Linked DNA regions of Kluyveromyces lactis. The protein of the gene in region 1 interacts with the protein of each later gene in a biochemical or structural test. Links are inferred from orthologs where the notes say so. Each region holds a gene or a part of one and is shown on either strand. Other genes may lie near its edges.

Region 1 (3,747 bases):
TACGACAGTTTAACTCGCAGGTAATAAAATGGTATGACTGGCGATCTGTGGTAGCAAGCTTGTGGGTAAAATGGTACCAACAGCATAGTCCAAAATTAGATGAAGTAGATATGAATGTTGAGACTGCAGCAGATTCCAGAGTTGATCTGGCACCGAATCTCATGCATAGAAATGATGAGTTTGATCACAATGCGGACATGGACATTGACATGGATCTCGATACAGATCCGTACGCGGATGCAGACATGGACATAGAGCTGGATGAATAGTCCTTAGACATGTTTGTGAAGTATTATTATCATTTTGATAGAAGTATTAACACCTATAGAGAGAGTATGTAAACAACTGATTTTTACTTGTTGAACTGAATTAATGTGAAAGAATATAAGAGTGTTAATGTCAAAATTATGTTGAAGTATTACAATGCGATGTACAGTACATCATTATGATAAGCATGAAAGCCATCAGTGGATAGAAATTGAATTTTGACCACCTTGGGGTTCTTTTTGTATTATTTATTATGACGATAAAATTTTGCAACAAATAACTTAGCTGTCATCGACAAAGATCTTGCGTTTCTCTTGAATTAGAACCGGTACTTCTGCATCAGTAGTGACTTGAGTGCCAATATCATCTCCGTTTTTGATGTACAACTTAAAAGAATCTGCGTCAATTCTAGGTGCTATTTTACTGCACAATTCTTCAAAAGTAATGGTAGGATGCAGCATCAAGGCGAATATGTCATCTTTGTAATAAAATTTGATCTTGACAGGCTTTTCATCAGTTATTCTCGGAGCGAAACCACTAGGCGGCCTTGATTTGACTTTAGCACTGGCATTGGAAGCGCTATTAATCAGAGACAGTCTCTTCATTGCCTCTGGAAGTTGTAGTTCTTGGTTAGTCAGAGTTGAATCATCAGCCCTACCTTTTACGTCAAGCTCCACAGTTTCATCATTACTAATCTCACGGTCAAAACCATTATTTTTAACGGCAAACAAACCCTTGACCAGATGTGATTGTGATATATGCGGCGGTAGGGAAATCAAATCCTTCACGTATATATTTAGGTCATCTTTTCTCTTTTTTGAAATGGTATCTGTCACATACGGAACTGGACCCGGTATATATGGCATTATACGTTTCGTCCACTGACCATTAGTGTCTCTTAGTTTACCCCCTTCTGCAGGGAAGATATCGAGTAGCTTTACTTGTAAATCATAGAAATCTTCATAATAACGCTTCAAAATACGCGTGGTGTTGTTGGATAACTGACACGAGACTTGGAACCAATACTTATCGTCCTGTAGGAAAAATGTCTCGACTGCAGCGTAGGTAAGGAAAACGGCATCAGCAGGATAGGTTGTATTGGCAGCGCTCGAGTGCTGCGTGCTGGGGTGTGGTTGACGGTTTTGTGAATTTTGCCTGGATTGTGATCGGTGTTGCACGTACGACTGACCCTGCTGTTCCACTGAACCTAGTGTGATATTGCTAGCCTTGTAACGGGCGATATTGATCTTCCATTCTTGGACCGAGGGTAGATTCACTGATTCGATATCGCTTTTTACATCATTTCCCGTGGCATAACCAGTAGCTATATCTATAATAGTCACAAAACCAACAGGAACTAGACCGGGACCACCCAACCTGCCAATGGGCTTAGCGATAAACCATTCAAAATCGTGATGAGCACAAATGAACAAGTTTTCTCCGGCATAGGCTGTTAACTCATCTGCCTTTTCTGCTTGAAAATCATACAGTACAATTGCATAAAGAGTTCCCATATTGGAAGGTTGTTGTTGCTGCTGTTGCTGCTGTTGCTGCTGATGATGCTGTAATAACTGATTACTACCGACAGATCCATTTCTATTTATACTTTTCACCGGTGATGCATGCGAATTTGGCCTTGTTCTGCCAAAAATCTCGAAATAATTCTTAGGAACCATGCCTCTCTTGCCGTCCGCCGGATTGGAGGCCTCATACCAATCGTTCTCCTCTTGCTGAACATGGAAAAAGTCTCCCTTATTGAATGATAATTCACCGGCTGATTGTGCCTGGTAATTGTATAACGCTTTGATTACTTTTTCTGGAGACGAGATATCTTTTGATTTTCCACTTGTAAACCCCGAAGATAGCTGTGATGATGTAGATAATTGCCTGATAGGAATGGTCTTTACGTTTTGCACTGAGCTCCCTGGACTTTGAGTAGGTCCGGAAATATCCGCAGAAGTTATGCGCTGTTTCACACTGTCTTTCTTCAATTTGAAATTCTATTCCAAAAATTTCCAGAAATTAGATAATTGGTTCAATTTAATCACCAACCAATGATCATAGTATATGTTAGTATTTTGCCTTCACGTTGCAATATTCATGTGGTTACCTTCTTTCAGTAAAGAAAAATTTTCCAGCCTCTAACAAAGTCAGAAATCCTCCGCTACTACGTCAAAATTGCCAAACATAAGACAATACCACGCGCATTATTACATACCTTCAACATTTTCCCACTATTGACTGCCTTTGCCTTTGTGTTGCAGCTTTCGTCTATCAACTCTGTTATTATGAATTCCTGAAACTCGTCTCTTTATTCATGTCAATCCTTTTTCATCTCGCTTCATCAACCCGCAGAAGGAAAGGAAGAATTTCATTCTAGAAGGGTTTTAGAGGTCACATGATCTGAAATTTAAAGATCGTACAGTATATGTATATAAGGTTAACGTAAAAGTGCTAAAACTAATTAATCGAGTAATACATGGCCTGTGGTCATCATAAATCGATGAGTTAATTGACAAAGGATGAATGATTCGGAGCGGTGAGGTGCCGCTTGTGCAATTTAGTAAAATATGTCTATGTTTCTATTTTTTCTTATTCTTTTGGTTGTTGTTATGTTGGTTCCAGTATTTGCTTACTGACCAGGTTAGACTACTGGTACCCTCTCATAGTACAACATATAAACGAATTTAGTTTCTGATAAAATATCTGAAGTTTTATATTCTTTAACTTTAGTATCAGATATTCTCCACCATGGGTATTTCACCACACTTTTCAATTTCTTTAATCTTCTTTTCTTTGTCTTCTTGTTGACATTCATTGAAATACCGTCATAATCTGTTTCAGTTTCCACTTCGGTAGCACTTGTATTAGTAACTTGATCTGTACTGTAAGAGTCGATACTAGCATTACTAGATAATATCGAAGCGTTGCGGTCAGTCGTCATAGAAGAGACACTGTTAAATCTTGCGCGGTTTCTATGTTCTGAAGATGATGAAGCCATGGGTGAACTGCTAATTTCAGGTAGTATATTGCTAGTATTGTTATTATCCGGTGCTGCCGAGACAGAACTCTTTCTCGAAAGGAAACCAGTGACTCTTTTCAAAGTGGATGGCGTCCTTGAAACTCCAGAACCACTGTTGTTGTTTTGGCCCTTATTATCTGCGTCGTTAGAGAACTCTGAGCTTCCAATAACGTAATCATCATCAGTAACAATCGCAGAGTTTGGTGAGTCCAGGAAAACAGATCTGAATGGCACGTTAGAGGAGATTGAATCTTCCGAGCCGATTGAACAAGAATCGGATTTGTTAGAGGAGTTCAGAACGGCCTGATTCCAGATTTCAGCTGCAAGTTTATTCGACGCAATACCGAAGTCCACCATTGGTGTCTTGCTAATGACTTGATGTGTATCAATGTCTTTCATAAACTCTGGTTTGTGTCTGAAACATTCATAGTGACCGGTAGAATGAGAACCTTGATGCC
Region 2 (4,299 bases), about 210 kb from region 1:
CATCTTTCATTAGATAAATATACGTGGGACCTATGGATATATCACCATGGCAGTGATTTTCCTGTGGAGAACGTTCCTTTGAAGATTAATGTGATCAAGACTTTGAGCCAAACGCTTGATGATTATTCACGTCGAAGTGACTCTCAATTCGTGGAAGTTATTGCACGTACACTTCAGTATCTAAACAAGTTGGTACAGGCGTCATTACTGAGTGGTGTTCAGCCGCAAATGATGACACCCAGTCTTTCTATGGGCCCACCGCTGAGGAAACCCGGATATCAGGATAGAGAGACTGTTCATCGCTCTATATTGAACTCCAAACGCAGACCAAGTGCTAACGGAAGCGATTCAGCATCTATAATTAGTGCGAAAAGTTCGGGAAACAAGAGTATAGCTTCGACGAAGTCAAAGAGAAGCATTTTCCAAAAAATGAAAGGTATGTCACGTTGGTCTCAACACATTTCAAGCGAAAACAATCCAGACCATAAAGGCAGAGCATCAAGTTCAATTAGCCCCTTTAACCGACAATCGTCATCAATCCCAAATATGAATGGTTCTGTTAATTCCAGCTCATCTCGAGGTACCAATACCCCATCTAATAGAAAGAGTTCTTTTTCTACTAATTCATCTGATGCGACCTTTTTGAACAATAACAAGACACACTTCAGAAAGCAAGACTTATCAGGAATGCCCGAATACATCTCGTGGGTACAAAAACTTACATTTCAGGTCCTACAGCTGCCCCAAACCTCACAGAATGATATCATTTTCTCTTTCATCAACAAATGCATAATCCCATTCATATTAAATGACGGACATTTACTTCAAATACAAATTATACAGAAAAACGTTATCTCAGCTTTCCTCAGCGCTTGATATGGCGGTCATATAGTTGGACAATAAATGATAGTACTATGTATTTTAGACCCGTAATTAAGGATGAATCACCAACGGTAACATGAAGAACCAGTCGTTAGGTATCGGTCGCAAGTCCGGGTAACGAGCATTCGCTATTTGGGAACAGAATGGAAATTTGGAAGCAAGACGTGGACTTTTAAAGAAACAAACATTAGAAAGTAAGTTGCACTTCGTAAAAAACCAAAACATAAGAACCATCAAGGGTCGTAGTATAGTCTGGTCACCGAAAGTGCTCAAAATTGTGGTAAGAGGTTTGCTAACGTGGACGAATTATATATTGGTGCAAATAGAGCAGTTTCGTTTTGTTTTTTTTCCATTTTCCTCATAGTTTATACGTTTCATCTCAACAATTCGCTGGACTTCATTTAGAGCATCTCAGCCGTATCATACCGTTCGAGTTCCAGAAATACCTACAAAATCAGTATGGCATCTAATAAAGTACCTAAGCTAACCCATATAGATACCACTAATTTACGGAGTACCAGTGGAGGCGTGCCATCTGTTGGAGAAACACCCTTAGGTGCAGGGTTTCAGCCGCAGAAAACATTCCCGTTGTTTATTTGTATCACCGAGTACAGTAAGCGTATGGATGACGAACTAGATATGAGGCCTGGAGACAAGATTCAAGTGGTCACCGATGATGGGTCGTATAACGATGGTTGGTATTTTGGTAAGAATCTAAGAACACAAGAAGAAGGCCTGTATCCCAAAGTTTTCACTCAAGTCATTGCTATGGAACGCAAACCAGCCCTGATGAGGGCAAAAAGCTCCAAGAGAATCGCAAGTCCGTTTGCCTCTGGAAGCAATACAAATCTTTCATACCCGTCCCAGGATGGGTCCACCAGTGAGCTACCTACCCCTCAGCCGTTAGAAACTGCACAACCCGCAACTTATAGGAAATTTGATAATATCAAAGCGCCCAACTCAGACATGATAAAAGTTCCTGTGGATAGGAACATATCAATGAAAAGCACAATGAGTGATATAGATAAGGCACTTGAAGAGTTAAGGGGTGACTCTTTCCCCTCTGGAACTGATTCCATCGATTATGATCAAAGACCTGGGTTGAAAAGACTTGTTTCAGGTTCATCATTAGATTTCACCAAAAGTAATAGCCTGGCTTCTACTGGAACCAACGAATTACGCCCAGAAAATGTGAAGAATTGGGTTCCGGAACAGGTTACAGCTTACCTCATCTCATTGGGATTCGATGTGGAATCAGCATCGAGGTTCCAAAAGCATAAAATTTCAGGTACAATTCTTTTGGAACTAGAATTAGCGCATTTGAAGGAATTGGAGATAAACTCGTTTGGAACTCGTTTTGAGATCTTTAAAGAAATTGAGGCTTTGAAGGAAATATCGACCCAGAATGGCACTTCTGCCAATAACAGGAATAGTTTGATGCCCGCTGCATCATTCAAACAAAATGCTGGGATAACGATAACCTCACCTTCTAACCATGATATTCCAACGTATCGAGGCCACCTAAGGAAAACATCACAATCTATGGAGGAACTAAATTCAAATTCGACTCCAACTCCAAAGAACTTCGTAACCCCATCGTCTGGAACACACACCAAAAGCTCTCAGAAACCTAGACCAGCATCCTTGCTATTTACTAATGAAACTACTAAAGCTCCGGATATTTCAGAAGATGTGTTCGCGTCGCCTAGACGTGCCCCAAAGCCTCCTTCATACCCATCACCAGTCCAGCCTCCAAAATCACCTATGGTTAGTGCTTCTAGTTCTGGCTCTGGCGGTAGGTTCTTGTCACCTCAACCTAACGCAATGTCCAGTGCTCAAACTTCCAAATACGCACATCCCACGATATATGAACAAGTGGCAGATGGTAAAGCAAAGGCAAAGGAGGAAAAATCGAGGGAGGATGAGATTCACGACCAGTTCGAATTTCCTCCTAAAAGGAAGCAGGGTCCAACTTCTAGTACCCCTAGCCTTCCAAACCCATATTTCAAGGAAACACAATCTATCGAACGAAACCCAAGTCCAACTGAGCAAGTTTCAGAGAATCGCGGTAGTGTAGTCTACTCCGGACATGTCAAAACCAAATCAGGCGGATCCTTCGTCGAACTGTTTAACAGGATATCAATGCTGTCGGAAAATACAGAAAATAAACAGGCCGATCGTGAATCTGATGCAGAAACTGGTGTTAATATGGAAAGACCTTCTTCTAGTGTATACGGGCATTCCAGAGCTACCTCATACTCTACCAATCATGGTAGAAAACCTTCCCAAGCCAACTCAGAAAGAAGGCATAGAAGGAATTCTTCTCTGCTGTCATTTTTCAAAGAGAAGGATGAGCATGCCGAGACAGATACTGCACATACTAAAACATCAAGAAGGACGTCGGTTTCTCATAGCAGGAAGAATTCATTTGTTAGTCCCTTCAACACTATTGATAACGGTACGCCTAGTCAAAGACATTCGATGATGCTAAGTACATCTCCTATTAAAGACCTTCCAAACCCCCAAACTCGAAAAGAAGCTAAGAGACGCTCTGTTAGCGCTAAAGAACCTGCCTCGGATGTATTTTATGACGCGAAAGATACTTTATACGAACCGGATGTTAATCAAAATAGGTCTGTGAGTGAATCAACTAAACCGAGAACAGCTCGCGGTACGAGCTCGAAAAATGTCGGAAAACAAAGAACTACCGCATTCACGGAAGGTATCCGTAGTATTACTATATCCGAAGCTATGCGTGAAGCAGATTGTTCAGGTTGGATGAGTAAGAAGGGTACTGGTGCTATGGGTGTTTGGAAAAATAGATTCTTTACGTTGCATGGTACCAGATTGTCGTACTTTGCCAATACAACCGAAAATAGAGAACGTGGATTGATTGATATAACCGCTCATAGAGTGTTGCCAGCAAAAGAAGATGACAAATTTGTTTCTCTCTATGCTGCTAGCACTGGTAAAGGGCGTTATTGCTTTAAATTGGTTCCTCCTCAACCTGGCTCCAAGAAAGGTCTAACGTTTACTCAGCCTCGTGTACATTACTTCGCAGTAGACACCAAAGAGGAGATGAGAGCATGGATAGCAGCTCTTATCAAAGCTACCATTGACATTGACACTTCAGTTCCTATTATCAGTTCATGTGCGACGCCTACCGTTTCATTAACAAAAGCTCAGGAAATGCTGTCCCAAGCGCGTGAAGAAACTAGACTGAGAGAGCAGCAAAGGTCACTGAATGAACATGACGAAGACTTATGGGATCAACAAAGAGCTGAGCAAACTCAAAGTTCTGAAGATTTTGCTAATATTTCCTCGCCAAGTATTACGCATAATACGACTATCACGTCTGGATTAACCAGTCCTTATTTAATGGCTGGTCAGCTAACCTCAAATACGACTGCTAATACT
Region 3 (2,679 bases), on another chromosome or scaffold:
TTTGATCTAGATCAATAACTACCTGTTGCCCCACTAACTGTGCCGATTGTTCCAGGGATTCAGCCACAGGATATGCAAGTTTCACAGACGTTATTCCAGATCCGGCATCTGTATGTTCACCGCACAATATCATTGCTTCGCTGGGTTCTCCTCTGAGTTTACATTTTTTTATATTATCTACCACTATGCATAACTTATCCTGTAACTGATCTCTCGGAATGTATTGTCTGATCCCACTACAGATCTGTTTCACAGATCCATTCCCCAATTCCACTTGAGAAACGTACATTTTCTCCGAATTGGGATGCAATGCTACTTGTTGGAATTTCCCAACCTTCAAGTTCAATAGCTCGAAAGGAAACCGTTTTGCCTCATTGCAAATCCTGCTAACATGGAAATCCCGTACCAATCGCTTCACAACTCCTTGTAGAAACATTATATCCCTTTTGAGTTGTTATCACTGGAATGGATCAACCAAGTAGCAGATCCATAAAAGAATACCGAGTTATTTACTGCTGACAGAAATCATGGGTAAGATTTTTATCATCTCTCAGACTTCTACCGTATCGAGTTGCGAGATCCGAGTTTGGCAGAGATGAGCTAACAGAAGGAAAAAGGAAAAAAACATGAAACTTTCGAAAATCAGAGATGAAAAAAAAAGATGCGAAAACAATTTGGTTGTTGCATTTAGCGGGTATTAAATGTAAATAACGAATTAACCAACCGTAGACACTTTGGGTAGTCTTCAGGAGGGTACAATTCATCATTCATATAGACGATAATCTCAATTAAGGGAAATTGAACCTAACTCTATCCTGTAGCTTCTTTTGTATCTGATCTGATTGAAACTGTGAGTTTTCTTTTATTTTTGGTGTTTATTTAGCTGTTCCTGTTGGTAAAGAGGAAGAAGAAAAAGAGCGTTGCGAATAAACGTACGTGCATTCTGATATTACTCCCTTGTTCACTGATCGGTATAAGGACGAGTATTCAATTTTATCTTGAATATAACAAGGAAAATAGTGACAGGCACCAGTATATCAAGCTGATCTCATAGTTGATTTAGTTCGCTATAAGTTTGCATTCTGAAATATACCAGTAACACGCGTTAAAAGCATACATAATCGAAGAAATACTCTTTTTGACGGCGATTTACACCTCAAAGAATTTCTACTGGAAAGTATCAGGGTACCTAATTCACATCTTCAGGTTCTTAAACCGAAGAAAAACGATAGATAATAAAGATGAGAGATTATAAATTGGTTGTTCTTGGAGCCGGCGGTGTCGGTAAGTCATGTTTGACAGTTCAGTTTGTGCAAGGGGTTTACTTAGATTCCTATGACCCGACCATAGAAGATTCGTATCGCAAGACCATGGAGATTGATAATAAGGTTTTTGATTTGGAAATCTTGGACACTGCAGGAGTGGCACAATTCACAGCTATGAGAGAATTGTATATCAAATCTGGAATGGGGTTCTTGTTGGTGTATTCTGTCAGTGATCGTCAGTCATTAAATGAGCTGCTCGAGTTACGAGAACAAGTATTGCGGATTAAAGATTCCGATCGTGTCCCCATTGTGCTCGTTGGTAATAAGGCAGACTTACAAGATGAACGTGTAATTTCAGTAGAAGAGGGAATCGAAGTCAGTAGTAAATGGGGCAAAGTACCATTTTACGAAGCTAGTGCACTACTCAGAAGTAATGTCGATGAAGTATTTATTGATCTTGTAAGACAAATTATCAGAAACGAGTTAGAATCTGCATCTAACATCAATAACAGTCAATCTAGAAAATTTAGCCAAGCTCGTACGATGGGAAGTAGTTCAATGACAGAACTGGGAAACGACGATTCAAACCCTTCTCAAGAACGAAATAATGACATTGCGGGTCCAAGTCAAGTTCAACGATTAGTTTCAAGAGTCCAAACCAAGAAGGATATTAGCTCAAAACCAGCAGCTGATTCAAATAAACATGCTAAGAAGAAACGGAAAAAGAGTAAGAAACGGTCTTGTGTAATATTATAACGTTGTGTTTTTCGTTCTGTAATTTTCGTTCATAATAGTTTGTTAAAATAATACTAAAATAAAAACTTCATAAAAACAACTACCGATTGATCAGATATGGGAGAATCTAATTTCAACCATGAAACTTATATACCTATCAGGATATACCTACCAGGATATACCCAAACAGTTAACCCACGATTCAATTGAGTACAACCATCTCAATATTCTGCATAACATCTCGAGGAAAAATTCTCAAAAAAAAGAAGAGCTGCACAGATTGAAAAATAAAAATTAAAGTTGACTGAGATGAGATGCGATGAGATGAGATGAGATGTGTCGCTGTTCATGCAATACCGAAGAGAGAAACAAGTACTGCACCCATCCATATAGCAACATCTCAAACAAATGGAAAACACATTAGTAAAGCAGTTAGCTGGTCATAGGAAGGAGACCCGTGAACAGGCCTTCGAGTCTCTTCGCAAATATTTGACAACAAGAAATTTCCAAAACGCTAAACAATCCCAATTTGATAAGTTATGGAAAGGTCTATACTACTCTATGTGGCACTGTGATAAGCCTATTCCCCAACAATCCCTAGCGTACTCATTAGGTGAGCTACATTTGTTGTATTTGAAGGGGAAGAACCAACAGGCGTTCATCAGATTTTCCAAAGCAT

The links.
Region 2: the proteins of BEM1 (region 1) and KLLA0_E20879g form a complex in vitro, tested with the Saccharomyces cerevisiae proteins (2 studies listed by BioGRID, with this or other methods). The link is inferred for Kluyveromyces lactis from reciprocal best matches to the Saccharomyces cerevisiae genes BEM1 and BOI2.
Region 3: the proteins of BEM1 (region 1) and RSR1 form a complex in vitro, tested with the Saccharomyces cerevisiae proteins (2 studies listed by BioGRID). The link is inferred for Kluyveromyces lactis from reciprocal best matches to the Saccharomyces cerevisiae genes BEM1 and RSR1.

What each region holds. Positions count from the first base shown.
Region 1 is NC_006041.1:2,076,494-2,080,240, forward strand, and holds BEM1 (phosphatidylinositol-3-phosphate-binding protein BEM1), read right to left. Parts: upstream 2,495-3,747; coding exon 2,486-2,494; intron 2,268-2,485; coding exon 549-2,267; downstream 1-548. Other genes in the region: KLLA0_E23343g (uncharacterized protein), read left to right, coding at 1-269; putative ubiquitin-specific protease UBP16, read right to left, coding at 2,912-3,747.
Region 2 is NC_006041.1:1,862,984-1,867,282, reverse strand, and holds the start of KLLA0_E20879g (uncharacterized protein), read left to right. Parts: upstream 1-1,341; coding exon 1,342-4,299. Other genes in the region: KLLA0_E20901g (uncharacterized protein), read left to right, coding at 1-876. UniProt on the Saccharomyces cerevisiae protein: Protein involved in bud formation. Functions redundantly with BOI1 to promote the fusion of secretory vesicles with the plasma membrane at sites of polarized growth. Acts as an abscission inhibitor during cytokinesis in response to chromatin bridges.
Region 3 is NC_006039.1:1,028,434-1,031,112, reverse strand, and holds RSR1 (Ras family GTPase RSR1), read left to right. Parts: upstream 1-1,241; coding exon 1,242-2,021; downstream 2,022-2,679. Other genes in the region: KLLA0_C12023g (uncharacterized protein), read right to left, coding at 1-436; RRP1 (Rrp1p), read left to right, coding at 2,409-2,679. UniProt on the Saccharomyces cerevisiae protein: Ras-related protein which binds GDP/GTP and possesses intrinsic GTPase activity. Involved in development of cell polarity during the cell division cycle, and essential for bud emergence.